Arabidopsis thaliana: one gene and its partner. The protein of the gene in region 1 interacts with the protein of each later gene in a pairwise test. Each region holds a gene or a part of one and is shown in the gene's direction. Other genes may lie near its edges.

Region 1 (7,736 bases):
TTATATTAGATACCTTTGGAAGTAAACCAAACAAAAAAAATCCACATAAAGATTGCTTTTGACTATGTAAGGAAAAAAAAGAAGAATATATTTTAGATATTTTGTTGTTCGTTTGTTTGGATATTGTTAAACTAATCATGAATGCGTATAAAACTGATCCCGACTTAAAATGACATTATTAAGTTATTTTTTCCACAAAAGTCTCACCGAAACCAAATGCTACAGTAATCGAATTACGGAATTAGTTTTAAAATTGCCGTTTAAAGTTTTTTACGAGTATTAATTTATAATATTTCTTAAGAATGTGATAAATTCACCCAATTTTTTCTAAAATATTGGCAAAATAATCTTCAAAATAAAAAATAGTCCATAATTATTAGACCTTACAACAAATCCATTAGACCATTTTCAATGGTTGTCTCTATTTGTTAGGAAAAAAAATTAAAATCTCTATTTTAGAGATAAATAAAGACAAAAATAGAGTATAGAAATAATAATAAAGATGGGTTGGAGATGTTTTAAGCGGCTTTTTTGTAGCTTGCAGGTTCCAATCTAAGTGAGAACGACTTTTTTTTGTTGGGTAAAAAAAAATTAAAAAAATTGTTTTCACTTGATTGAGACCTGTGAAGCTTAGGATTTTGATTGGTAGCACATTTCCAAATTTGAATTGTTTTGTTGGAGACCAATAAGAAAGAAACGAATCTGTTGAAAGTTGAAACATACAAATTTAATAGATATATAATTGAAATATTTGTTTACAACTTGTTTGACAAATATAGATTGTTTACCATCGTTCATTTACCAAATGGATATTTTGAGGAAAATATCTTTCTTTTGGGAATCATCTTACTAAAATAAAAAAAAATCTAATCGTATGTCTTTGCTTATAATTTCTTTTTCATCTTTTTGTCAACCAACGACATTAAACTTGTTTTTAAGGTTAATTATAAAGATTTTCTAAATATAACAATTGTATATAGTATACAATTGTATGTAAAAAAAAACAATTGTATAGCCGTCGTGACGTAGTAAAAAGGGATATTAGGATCACATAAATTCTTTATATAAGGAATCTTTACGTAAGGCAACATTATTATCTCCTCTCCCTTATTGAGAAGGGCTCATGGTCAACGTTGGTTATAGTCTTATAGATGAAATGGGGATCTAAGACGACAACCCAGAATCCGAAGACAGTTCAGGAATCTAGGCGACATTAGTATACCACAATCTGTGTGCAGACACTGGCGAAGCACAGACAGTTGAAGTATTAAAACAATTTTTAAATCGTTTCGCTGCAAATTATCCAGGTTTATTTAAATTATATAAGCTATATTTCATTTAGTACTTTGTATGAATTATAAGGAACTAATACTTAAAGTTATAAATCAGCTGAAAGAATTTATGATGATATAAGCAATTGAAATGGTTTGATGTTTATTCATGAAGCTTGAAGAAGAATTTTCGCTTCATCAAAAGAAAAAAAAAGTGTTGATGTCGAAAGAAAAAAGAAAAAGATGTTGATATGTATATATGTACTGTACAAGTTATTGAACTTACCAAAAGTTTCTGAATGTCCAACACTAACTTGTGTTTTGTACTTTTGATTTCTCTGCCTTATGCTTATGTACATGAATTCTTTTTTTTATAGGTTAGCACAACATAGAGCAAAATAAGCTCTATTTCATCGATATACCGAGATGGAAATACCTAGTCAAGAAATTCACATCATGATTGATAACACAATATCGAGGCGCAAAGAGAGAAAGACTAACCTCGCAGATGCCGAACCCATTGTCCTGATGTCTGTTTTGAGTAGTCTCCATGCGGGATATTTCAGAATAAGCCTTTCTCTATGTAGCCAAGCATTGTTGTGGAAGATTATGGTGCATTTGCATAGCGAACTCCCGTCTATGGCGTATTATCTCCTGTGGTACCTAGCACTTGCAACACAAGTATCACTCTGTTTTTTGTATGCCTTCAAGTGTATTTTTCTCTTTGACATGGTGAAGGAAGAGTTCTCGCACTATATTGGAGTGAACTATCTTTACGCTCCATCCATTTCATGTCTTCTATTGCTTCAATCAGCTCCTATGATAGAACCACACAGCGTTTTATATCAGACACTATTCTGGATCTTTGCTGTTCCAGTCTTGACTTTAGACACAAAGCTTTATGGTCAATGGTTCACAACAGAGAAAAGGTTTTTATCGATAATGGCAAACCCGGCAAGCCAAGTATCGGTAATCGCAAACCTAGTGGCTGCGCGGGGAGCAGCAGAGATGGGTTGGAAAGAGTGTGCTCTATGCTTATTCTCACTTGGAATGGTTCACTATTTGGTCATCTTTGTTACACTTTATCAACGCTTACCAGGCGGAAACAATTTCCCAACCACGCTAAGACCGGTTTTCTTCTTGTTTTTCGCTGCACCCGCCACAGCAAGTCTAGCTTGGAACTCTATTTGTGGAAACTTTGATACTATAGCCAAGATGTTATTCTTCCTTTCACTCTTCATCTTCATATCTCTGGTAAGTTTACATCTTTACGATACACCAAGAAACCGAAAACCGACATTTTTACATTCTTTTTCTTATACATTTTCAGGTTTGTAGGCCAAATCTTTTGAAGAAGTCGATAAAAAGATTCAATGTCGCATGGTGGGCTTACTCGTTTCCTATCACATTTCTCGCTTTAAACTCGGTTCAGTACGCGCAAGAGGTGAAAGACCATGTCGCTTCGGTCTTGATGTTTATCTTCTCATCCATGTCAGTTTTGATATTCATCAGTGTGATGTTACTGACAGCAGCAAATAGCAAAAGATTACTTAGACGTGATCATGTCCTCTGGTCTTCTACTGGTCCAAAAGACAAATAAACATCGTGTATGGCGAAACTTGTAAACCAAAGCTAATTACCCATAAAATAATGTATGTAAAAGTAGTTACAAAACTAGCTGGATAAAAAATTTCAGTTGGAAGATCAACCAACTACAGACTACTATGTAATACAATTTGTAGAAATTTCTACTCTAATTACTATCTGACCTGATATCAAACCCGGTTCAAATACTATAAAACCGGAAATGCTGAATTGAACCGAGTTATTACCGGTTTAAACACAGTAAAATCAAAATTCACCTGACTGTGAGAATCAACTGATCAATTCCATTCCACTGACTGATTCTTCCAAATCTCAGGAGTCAGGCCTCAGAGGCTAATTTGGTTTACAATAGACACATTTTACTATCTGAATTGAACCAAATGATTTCCGGTTCAAACATGGTAAACCGAAGAATGTCCATTACATCATCATCTGAACCAAATTTACCTGACTCTAATTTTCAAAGCTAGAGGCTTTTTTAGTTTTTGATCGCTGCAAATTTCGCCGGCGACGACGATGATCCGATCACGAAGTGTCTTGTTAATTTTCAGGAAGGTGTTGTATCAATCGTCTTGTCTTAAGTGTTTATTATGTGCAAACTCTTTCTCTACTTCAGTTTCGTCAAGCTTGGGTTTTCGAGCGACGAACAAAGAGTTAAACCAGATGATAAGATCGGGGTATATCGCCGAAGCTAGAGATATTTTTGAGAAACTGGAAGCGAGGAACACAGTGACATGGAATACGATGATAAGCGGGTATGTGAAAAGGCGTGAAATGAATCAAGCACGGAAACTGTTCGACGTAATGCCTAAGAGAGATGTTGTGACTTGGAACACGATGATTTCGGGGTATGTTTCATGTGGTGGGATTAGGTTTCTTGAGGAAGCAAGGAAGCTGTTTGATGAAATGCCTTCAAGGGATTCTTTTTCATGGAACACTATGATTAGTGGTTATGCGAAGAATCGGAGGATAGGTGAAGCGTTGTTGTTATTTGAGAAAATGCCTGAGAGAAATGCAGTGTCATGGAGTGCTATGATCACTGGGTTTTGTCAGAACGGTGAAGTGGATAGCGCGGTTGTGTTGTTTCGGAAAATGCCTGTGAAGGATTCGTCTCCTCTATGTGCACTTGTGGCTGGTCTTATTAAAAACGAGAGACTTTCAGAAGCTGCGTGGGTTTTGGGTCAGTATGGGAGTTTAGTTTCAGGAAGGGAAGATTTGGTGTATGCTTATAACACTTTGATTGTTGGATATGGACAGAGAGGACAAGTAGAAGCAGCTCGATGTCTGTTTGATCAGATTCCTGATCTCTGTGGTGATGATCATGGTGGAGAGTTTAGAGAGAGGTTCTGTAAAAATGTTGTGTCATGGAATTCTATGATCAAAGCTTACTTGAAAGTGGGTGATGTGGTCTCTGCAAGGTTGCTATTTGATCAGATGAAAGACCGCGATACAATTTCTTGGAACACAATGATTGATGGATACGTACATGTTTCCAGGATGGAAGATGCTTTTGCTCTGTTTTCGGAAATGCCGAACCGTGATGCACATTCGTGGAACATGATGGTCTCGGGTTATGCTAGTGTTGGCAATGTAGAGCTTGCTCGCCACTACTTTGAAAAAACACCTGAGAAACATACAGTCTCGTGGAACTCGATAATAGCAGCTTATGAGAAAAACAAGGACTACAAAGAAGCTGTTGATTTGTTTATCCGGATGAACATTGAAGGAGAGAAGCCTGACCCACATACTTTAACTTCTCTTCTCAGTGCATCTACCGGGCTTGTGAATCTGCGTTTAGGAATGCAGATGCACCAAATCGTTGTCAAGACTGTGATCCCCGATGTTCCAGTCCACAATGCCCTTATCACTATGTATTCAAGATGCGGTGAAATAATGGAGTCGAGGAGAATCTTCGATGAAATGAAACTCAAAAGAGAAGTAATCACATGGAATGCAATGATAGGAGGATATGCATTTCATGGTAATGCCTCAGAGGCCTTGAATCTGTTCGGGTCGATGAAAAGCAACGGGATATATCCTTCTCACATAACATTCGTCTCAGTTCTGAACGCTTGTGCTCACGCGGGACTTGTTGATGAGGCTAAAGCACAGTTTGTGTCCATGATGAGTGTGTACAAGATCGAGCCGCAGATGGAACATTATTCTTCCCTGGTCAACGTTACCAGTGGACAAGGGCAGTTTGAAGAGGCCATGTATATCATAACGAGTATGCCTTTTGAGCCAGACAAAACGGTATGGGGTGCATTATTGGATGCTTGTAGGATATATAACAATGTAGGGCTTGCACATGTTGCAGCTGAAGCAATGTCGAGACTCGAACCAGAGAGCTCAACACCTTATGTACTGTTATATAACATGTATGCGGATATGGGACTATGGGACGAAGCTTCTCAAGTGAGAATGAACATGGAGAGTAAAAGAATCAAGAAGGAAAGAGGATCCAGTTGGGTTGACTCCTCAACGTAAAAAGCAGCCTTTATTTATGTTTACTTAAACATAAAAATTGATTTGGGATCAGAATTGAGATAGAAATTGATAAGGTACTCTTGAAAGTTCTCTCTTTTCTCAATTCTCTTCATCATATTTGGACTCATATTCCAACGACATCGTTTTGGGAATCCCCATGATTCTTGTTTGCTTCTATCTGTTTTTCTTTTCCAGTGCCCAAAAATAAAATAAAAAGAATCTTTGTCTACATTGATTGAAAATTTGATGTTTTTCTTTTTGCAGCCATTCAAAATATTGGTGGCTTCAAATTCACCTCTTACACTTGTAGCTTGTGCTTCATCCAATTCTTTGCAGCGATTAAAACACACAAAAAGTTTGCATATGAATTGCTGACTCTGAATTTCTCAAAAAGGTAAGCCTTTTTTTGTTCATATCTTGCTTTTTAATCTCAGATGTATTTAAATGATCGTAAGTATCTGTGAATTGGTCCAGTATGATTAAGAGATTCTTGACACTTTCCAAAGATCAGAGGTTTTGATTTTCTTCTTGAGCTAATACAAATTTTCTGATCGCAATATTAGCTAATCTCCAAATCCAAATCATTTGAATTTGTTTTCTTTTTTGCCACTTATGGATATCTCTAAGGACTAAGAATGAATTGAGAGATGAAATTAGGGTTTCAACTTTCAATTTGAACAGGGAAGCTGATTTTTTTTTTCTAGAACATCAATGTATCTTAGACTCTTACACATCTTAATTCCTAATATAGTTGTGTTATTCAAAGAAAAAAGCTTCTCTCTTATGCAGATAAGGGCATTGCTTCATTGATATGGTTAAGAAATGTTAGTTGCGTATCCTGCGGGAACTATCAACAAATTCCAAATCCCTATTAGCTGCTATGCCGCTTTGCGCAGATTCAAGACCTCGCCTTTTGGTCCTCTGATTAGTTGTTCTGTCTCCCCAAGATCAATAGTTCCTTGTAGCAATGTAGAGTGTTATCATTCATCTTTTTCTACAAAATATCAAATTCAGCCTCGAAGGAGATGGATGGTTAGTAATTAAAGTTTTCGTCTCTTCGGCAAGTTATACATCCATCTGTATACTGCTCCTAAGTTTTTTTGTGTTTGTTCTTTTGATTTCATCAAGTTTTGTAACTCACGCAACAACTCGATTTCATCGGATGATGAGTACCGTTCATCACCCAACATAGCTATAAGTCTTTTAAGACGTTACAGGACCGTGATTGGACGCGGTGAAGGCGAAACCTTAAAAGTAACTTCCTTTTTTTATTTGAGTCATTCTTGTTTTCTTCTCGATTGTATATCCATCTTTCATTAATTTGTTTGTGTGTGTATCTTCAGGAATTCATATCCGCTGGTGTGAATGCATATGCGCTCGGCTGCACAGATGAAGATTTGAGAAAAGAACTAATGGCTATGAAAGATTCGGGTTTAGAGATTGAGAGAATGGAGAATTACGGCGGAAGCACACAGACTAAATCCAAAATTACGCTGTCTGAGGTTAGTTAGTTACAACGAACTTGTGATATCATCGGTTAATATATGAGCTAAGTCGTATCAGATCAATTTTAACTGGCGGTTTTAATTCCGCAGGTAGATGAATGCATATTGTGGCTTAGGATTGTATTCATCACGATCTTGTGTACGCCGCAACCAACAGTCATAAGATGGTCATCGACTCCTTCGGTTTCTGATGAAATTCTAAGCAAATGGAGAGGCTTTTGCGCGGTTATAGCAAATGCATACTATATTAGAGGAATGGCTTGGTAAGATCAAATATATTCGATTCTATCATTTTTAAAAATCCATTCTAAGATGAAAAATAAATGTTTGTAAAGAGTGTGAAATCTATGTGTATTTACGAATTACGACAATGCTATTATTGGACCTTGGTGTGAGTGTAGGCTGCCTGTGAAGACTCTTCAGTTGGAGCAGATGGCGGTGACAGGACAATCAGAGGAGCCGTCCGTTGTGGCCAGCCGAATGAGACTGGTGTTTAGCACTCTCGAGGTTAGTCTTATTGTATCTGTCTTATAAAAAAAAGTGATATGTTATTGTGTCTCCACTGTTTCAAAATGGATTGTTACTTTAAATTCGCCAAATATTGCGTCAAGAGTCAAAAAACTCGTTGGAGTGTTATGTTTAATAAAACTTGATTCTTTGTTTATCGTATTCGTAGGTAGTGAGTCCTCAATGGCCACGGGTTTAACTATGATGTTCTGCAGATTGAAATATACGAGTTCTAAGGTATCTTTGTTTTGTTCTTTGAATCTTCAAAATGTTTTTATCGTCTTGTTAATCCCATTTTGTAAATGGTTGTAGAACTACTGTAATTCAATAGGTCACTGTTTTAATACACAAACATATAAAA
Region 2 (7,072 bases), on another chromosome or scaffold:
GAGTCGGTGTACATTGAAAAAATAAACCAAAATTTAATAACAGAGATTATTTGCCTTTTAATACATATACACACACGCACATATCTACCTGCATCTTCTTCATAATCATTCCTAAGAAATTCTCTCTCTCACACACTCAAGAACAAGACAAGAGTCAAGAAAAATCAGATGAGTCTCTATAGCTTCATTAGCTTGTTGTTACTGTTTCTCATCACGATTTCAATGGAGTTTAAAGAGACATCATCCTTAAGAAGAGACATGACCAAGCTTTTAAAGCTCCAAGAGAAGATTCAAGAAAGACTCGCAGTCACTCCCACTCTCTCACCAGTGTCTTCTCCTTCTTCTCACTCTCCCAAAATGGTAAAGTCCTCTTGTTCAGTTTCTAATGTATTACAGGCACGTGTGTGTGATTTGTGAGCGTGTGTGAGTTTGGTTTGTGCAGGTTGGGAAGGTGATATACCCGATTGGTTACGGAGCTGACCCTACAGGTGGACAAGACAGTAGTGACGCAATACTTGAAGCTTTAACTGATGCTTTTCAGTTACAAACTGGACTTGAGATGCTGCCACGTGTCGCTGATTTAGGTGGTCTAGTTATTGATCTCCAAGGTGGCAGTTACATGATCGGAAAACCTCTCAGGTTCCCTTCCTCCGGTGGCGGAAATCTTGTGGTTAGTCCCTCATTTTAAAATTTGACTTAAGAAACTTATGAAAAGGTTTGAGTCTTTTAAGACATTGTTCGGTGTAATTCAGGTGAAAGGTGGGACTTTCCGGGCATCAGAACTGTTTCCTGGTGATAGGCATTTAGTTGAGCTTGTAGCATCAAACGCTAAGAAACCAATGAAAATGTCGCCAGAGGAGTCTTTCTCCGATCAGAAAGACCAGAGCTCTGGGATCTTCTATGAGGATGTGACCTTCCAAGATGTTCTCTTCGACTCAAGATTCCGAGGAGGTGGTATTTTGGTGATTGACTCAGCTCGTATCCGTATAACCAATTGTTATTTCCTCCATTTCACAACGCAAGGGATTAAAGTCCAAGGAGGTCATGAGACATACATTTCAAACTCCTTCTTGGGGCAACATTCAACGGTAGGAGGAGACAGAGAAGAAAGAGGATTTACTGGGACAGGAATCGATATCTCGAGTAACGACAATGCCATTACGGATGTAGTGATTTTCTCGGCTGGTATCGGTATCTCTTTGAATGGTGGTGCAAATATGGTTACGGGTGTGCATTGCTACAATAAAGCTACATGGTTTGGTGGCATTGGCATTCTAGTGAAATCACATTTAACGAGGATAGATAATTGTTACCTTGATTACACAGGTATAGTCATAGAAGACCCTGTCCATGTTCATGTCACCAATGCTTTGTTCTTAGGAGATGCAAACATCGTCTTGAGATCGGTACACGGGAAGATTTCCGGTGTAAACATCGTCAACAACATGTTTAGCGGTACCGCCAAAAACAACTTCCCGATTGTCAAGCTAGAAGGAGAGTTTCATGATATTAATCAAGTTGTGATTGATCAAAACAATGCAGAAGGGATGATGCTGAAATCAACAACCGGAAAGGCCATGGTTTCCGCAAATGGAACACGATGGATCGCTGATTTTTCCCCTGTTTTGGTATTCCCTAACCGGATAAACCATTACCAGCATTCGTTTTTCGCTCAATCCGGACAGATCCCTGCAAATGCAGTGACCAATGTCTCCAACAATATGGTGGTTGTAGAAACCGATAGAGCTGTAACTGGAACCGTGTCAATAATTGCTTATCAGTAAAACAACATTCTTCACATTGATCATATTCCTAATAAGAAAGCATGATTTGACATCTGATTTATACAAGTTCAGTTACAGTTTGGTGAGCTTGATACTAACAACTAATACCAGCAATCAGCAACCTCATCATTAGCGGCTTCTTCTGGCTCATCCGACTTCTCAGGTGGACCAGAAGTCCTAGGCAGTCCTTGGAAATCACGTTTACCTGGTTTCGCAATGTCTATATAAATCATTCTGCCATTGTACATCTGCAACAGAGGAATGGGAAACATTTAGGTTGATTTCAAGACATAAAAATGTAAACTTGTGATTGAAAGAAGCTTTTACCCGACGGTCCATGGTCTCTATGGCAAGAAAAGCATCATCTTGAGACGTGAATTGAATAAAAGCATAACCTTTTGATCTCTTCATTGCCTCATCTTTGATAAGCTTAACTGTTTTGAAGTATAAGAGTGAACATATCAATGCCATAAAACTGAACCTTAAAGCAACAAAACAGAGTAAAATTGAAACCGCAAACATACCTTCAGCTATCTCTCCAAAAGCTGAAAACTCTCTCTTTAGAAAATCTTCACTTGTAGAAAACGGTAAATCTACAAATTCAAAGTGAAGAAACATCAGAACCGTAGAGTAATTACCAAGTTGAAGTTACAACCAACTTCAACTTCACTAATGATTGCTACAAGAGCTTAGAGCTATCACATATGACTACCGTCACAATCCTGACTCAAATCAACTAATTTCAATCAAACCAGAATCATAAATTACTTTTGGAACAATAACAGAACCATGTCCTAATCTCAGCTAGAAGCGAATTCAAATATAAACCAAAAGATAATCTGAATCTTACTTCTGACCATGATTTTGCTCGCTAGAGGGTAATTAAAGAGCGAAGCTTTAATCTTTGGAAACCTAAGGTTCCTGTAATTAGGTAGAGAAGATGAAGAAGCCACAAAAGAAGGGAAAGATAACGTCGCCGACCACATAATTCACAGTCGCCGGAAATAGAGAGGGAGAAGAAGAAGAAACAAACAGAGAGTTATAAAACGACAGCGGTATAGTAAAAAGCTAAGGCCTAAGTTTTTTGGCCCAGTGATAAATTTGAAACTTTAGGCGGAAACTAAAAACATTTGAAACAATAAGGACTTAAAAAGTAATTTACTATTTATTTAGATATTGTAAAACCCACACAAAAACCCTAATTTCATTTCTCCAAAGCTTTCCAGAATACTCTCCACTCCTTCATAATTTCTCTGGCAACGATGGCTATGATATCTCACCGTCTCCGACGAGCTTTACTCACTGCGACTTCCTATGTTAACCGATCAATTAGCTCTTCGATCACACCAGCGTCTGATTTCCCTTCTGTGTCGGCGGCGGTGTTAAAGAGATCCGTTATAGGGCGTTCGACGGAAGTAGCTACTCGAGCACCGGCGAGACTGTTTTCAACGAGGCAGTACAAGCTTTACAAAGAAGGTGATGAGATCACGGAAGACACTGTGTTGTTCGAAGGATGTGATTATAATCACTGGCTTATCACTATGGATTTCTCCAAAGAGGAAACTCCTAAGTCTCCAGAAGAAATGGTCGCTGCTTATGAAGAAACTTGCGCCCAAGGACTTGGCATCAGGTTAGTAGATGAATTTTTGTCACTGCTTAGATTCGTTGCTTTTGGCTAAATTGTCCAAAAATCATTCAGTAAGTTACTTAAATGTGAGAACTTTACCATTGCTAGGGTTCCATTCACTGTTATATAGCTCTGCTTTGATTTTTGTGTATCTTCTTCTGGTATTGATATTGGTTAAGACGATTATATTGATTCATTTTTGGTGTTTATGGTTGAGTCAGCGTGGAAGAGGCTAAGCAAAGGATGTATGCTTGTAGCACAACTACTTACCAAGGATTTCAAGCAATCATGACTGAACAAGAATCAGAAAAGTTCAAGGGTATATAGTTCGAATCATTTATGTTTGTTTTCTTTTGAATTCAACTTTTTTCACCAGATATTGACTCTGTTATTGGTATATGTAAACAGATCTACCCGGAGTGGTTTTCATCTTGCCAGATTCCTACATTGATCCCCAGAACAAAGAGTATGGAGGTGAGCTGGTTTTTTTTACAAACTGGTCTTATTTTGGATATTTGTTGTTGGGACTCTATCAACAAAATTATGTTTCTTGTTTTCAGGAGATAAATACGAGAATGGAGTGATAACACACAGGCCACCACCGATTCAGAGTGGCAGAGCAAGACCTCGTCCTAGATTTGACCGTTCAGGAGGAGGAAGTGGTGGTCCCCAAAACTTCCAAAGAAACACACAGTATGGTCAGCAACCACCAATGCAAGGTGGTGGAGGGAGCTATGGTCCTCAACAGGGCTATGCCACTCCAGGACAAGGTCAGGGAACTCAAGCGCCTCCACCATTTCAAGGAGGTTATAACCAAGGCCCGAGATCTCCACCACCTCCATATCAGGCAGGTTACAATCAAGGCCAGGGATCTCCAGTGCCTCCATATCAGGCAGGTTACAATCAAGTCCAGGGATCTCCAGTGCCTCCATACCAAGGAACACAAAGCAGTTACGGTCAAGGTGGATCTGGGAACTATAGTCAAGGGCCACAAGGTGGTTACAACCAAGGAGGACCTAGGAATTACAATCCACAGGGAGCTGGAAACTTTGGTCCTGCATCTGGAGCTGGAAACTTAGGTCCTGCACCTGGAGCTGGAAATCCTGGCTATGGTCAGGGGTATTCTGGACCAGGACAAGAGCAGAATCAGACATTCCCACAGGCAGATCAGAGGAATCGAGACTGGAACAACAATAATCCAGCAGGCCAGCCCGGGTCTGACCAAGTAAGATCTCGATCAATAATGAATCTTGCATCTTTCTTTTTTGATATCCTCATCAGGCATTAAAGTACCCCATTTTCCCCATATTTGTTACTGAGATGGTCCTGTGTTTCAGTTTCCACAGGGAAGAAGGTACTAGACAGAGAGCATGCTGCAGTGAATTGAGCTGAATAAGGAGAGAAGTGTCAAAGGCCTTTTATTAAGTTTTACAGTAAATAGTATTTAGTCATCTTTCTACTTTGTAAGACAATAGTTAGTCCTTTTTTCTCTTAAGTTGAGCTTGTTAACGTTGTTGGTTGCGCTTGTGAAATTGAAACACTCTTTCTAGAAGTTCTTTTAAGACCTAATATGCTTGCTTTACCTGAGACATTTGGAATCGTCCACACTTGTAGCTACTGTATTCAGTCTACTAACCAAAAATCAAACGGAACTTTGAAGACCACTTTGAATAGAAATGATGAATTTTGTAAACACTTGGAGCTCTTTACATGGAGATAATGTTTCTAAAGCTAAAAGACAATACTTTCTTGTTTCTTCTTGACTGGTGGCAGTTTCGGTAATACCCAAGTAGGAGACTCGTTTAGCCACAGTGCTTCACCTGTCTCCTTGTGCTTGAAATCAGGGGCTTTTGCATTTCTCTTCAAAACAAAAACGATATTGGGACAATAGGTCAGTTTCTTGGAAAGATTGATGAAAAACCGAGCAAAAGATATTGGTATCCTACCTTGTCGATTCTATTGTCCCACCATTTATCTGGGTTCTGAACCAAGTCCTTCCATGATTCTTCTCCTACACATATCAGCCCAGATTTCAGTTTATACAAACATACTTGAACAAGTGCCACATAACTGTAAACAACTTTCTTTGTATAGTTGCATAGGAACATGGAAATGACTGGGAACTTTACCTTTAAGTTGTTTTACAACTCTGGCTTTAGGGACTAGAACATCGAACTCGAGTCCTTCGAGTTTTGGCAAAACCCAATTAGGAGCCTTATTGAGCCACAGCGAAAAACTACTGTCCTTGCTTTTGAAATCAGGATGCCTAGGTTTTACCTATGTAGGAGAAAAACCAAGAAGTCAGAAAACTAGTAGAGAGATTTAGCAGACACCATATCAAAAGATTGCGAGTGAGATAAGGATGAATAGTTAAGCACATGGGGCATTTACCAATCCATTGACTTTATTTTCCCGGTGATCCCACCATTCTTTAGGATTTTCAATGAGGTGATTCCAAGAATCTGAAGCTTCATCAATGACTATATCCTGCTTAGCTCTAGCTAGAGACTCATTTAACAAACCATTAATCAGAGCATTGAAAACAAATGTATGCCAGAAAGATTTCACAAGAAAACACATTTTTCATTAAATACATCACAAGAGATTAAAAAGTAGCTCCCTAAGAGCCTTTCTCAGACCTAACACAAGCGCCAATTGAAAATTGTTCATTGGAAATGTTACATGAGACATACCAGGCTGCTTCTTGATACCACTTTCTTCCTTTTCAGATGATGACATAACCATAAATGGCGACGGAGACGGGGACATAGGCTGTATAAAGTTAAGATTCTGGACCAATACCTGTTGTAAAGCAAGTAGCAACCACCTAAAGTTACAAAGGTTCTCTGGAACTTTTCATACATACTCGAGGGATAATCAAATCAACATAGTACTCTTCTCACAAGTATCATAAAACTGATCAAATACTATTTAAAGCTCACACCTGAACATTGGCTTGTGCATAAGTCATATTTGGAGGAGGAGAATCTATAAACAGCTTCCCAGACACATGAATTTGATCGTCTTTGCTTACATATCGAGCTGCGGTTTTAGCTAAATCGCCTTCAAATATTATCGGAATCCTGACAAAACAAAATCCAAAACCTTTTCAAATATGAATCACAAACAAAGTTACAAATAAAAATCTCATCTTTGAGTATAGATTAGAGAGAGTACCAGAAACCAGAGGAATCTGAAGCAGACCTCTGGGAAATAACAGTACCAGCCCAGAATTTGCCATCAGAAGAAGCTTCGAATTGAACTGGTTGATCAACAAATCCAATCAGATTAACCCAATTCGCTACTTCACTCTCGTAAGCTATCTCATTAGGCCGAGGCAATTCATTCTCCGTCGTCGCCGTGACTGACGCAATCTCCAGCGGTTTCACAGGTGTCACTGCCTCCGGAGTTTTCGCCGGTGCTTTGGCTCTTTGTTTCCTTTCTCCATTTCCAGTTTTCCCGCCGACGGCCGCCGCAGTGTATAAACGGATTTGCGGAGAGGTTATCCGTTTTCCGGTAGTGATTTCTGAAGCTCTTGGATAAAAAAATGGCGAACATTCAATTCTTGCCAAGGATTTGGAAATCAAACTCATCTTTTCATGAGAACGAGAGAAAAAATCCCTAATTTGCGAAAACCAAGAGAAACCCTAATTTTGCTTTG

The links.
Region 2: the proteins of MEF9 (region 1) and MORF1 interact in a two-hybrid assay, tested with the Arabidopsis thaliana proteins (one study listed by BioGRID).

What each region holds. Positions count from the first base shown.
Region 1 is NC_003070.9:22,995,453-23,003,188, reverse strand, and holds MEF9 (mitochondrial editing factor 9), read left to right. Parts: upstream 1-3,359; 5' UTR 3,360-3,392; coding exon 3,393-5,363; 3' UTR 5,364-5,434; downstream 5,435-7,736. Other genes in the region: SLAH4 (SLAC1 homologue 4), read left to right, coding at 1,698-2,525, 2,602-2,871; AT1G62250 (orotidine 5'-phosphate decarboxylase), read left to right, coding at 6,186-6,395, 6,492-6,617, 6,707-6,865, 6,959-7,131, 7,270-7,375, 7,545-7,574.
Region 2 is NC_003075.7:10,842,060-10,849,131, reverse strand, and holds MORF1 (multiple organellar RNA editing factor), read left to right. Parts: upstream 1-2,984; 5' UTR 2,985-3,046; coding exon 3,047-3,414; intron 3,415-3,632; coding exon 3,633-3,730; intron 3,731-3,819; coding exon 3,820-3,885; intron 3,886-3,971; coding exon 3,972-4,699; 3' UTR 4,700-4,730; downstream 4,731-7,072. Other genes in the region: AT4G20040 (Pectin lyase-like superfamily protein), read left to right, coding at 169-360, 443-670, 753-1,784; AT4G20030 (RNA-binding (RRM/RBD/RNP motifs) family protein), read right to left, coding at 1,886-2,032, 2,112-2,218, 2,309-2,377, 2,635-2,770; PTAC9 (plastid transcriptionally active 9), read right to left, coding at 5,143-5,271, 5,358-5,422, 5,541-5,688, 5,803-5,908, 6,101-6,213, 6,356-6,494, 6,589-7,004. UniProt on the Arabidopsis thaliana protein: Involved in organellar RNA editing. Required for the processing of numerous RNA editing sites in mitochondria. Binds to the mitochondrial MEF19 and MEF21 factors, two pentatricopeptide repeat-containing proteins involved in RNA editing.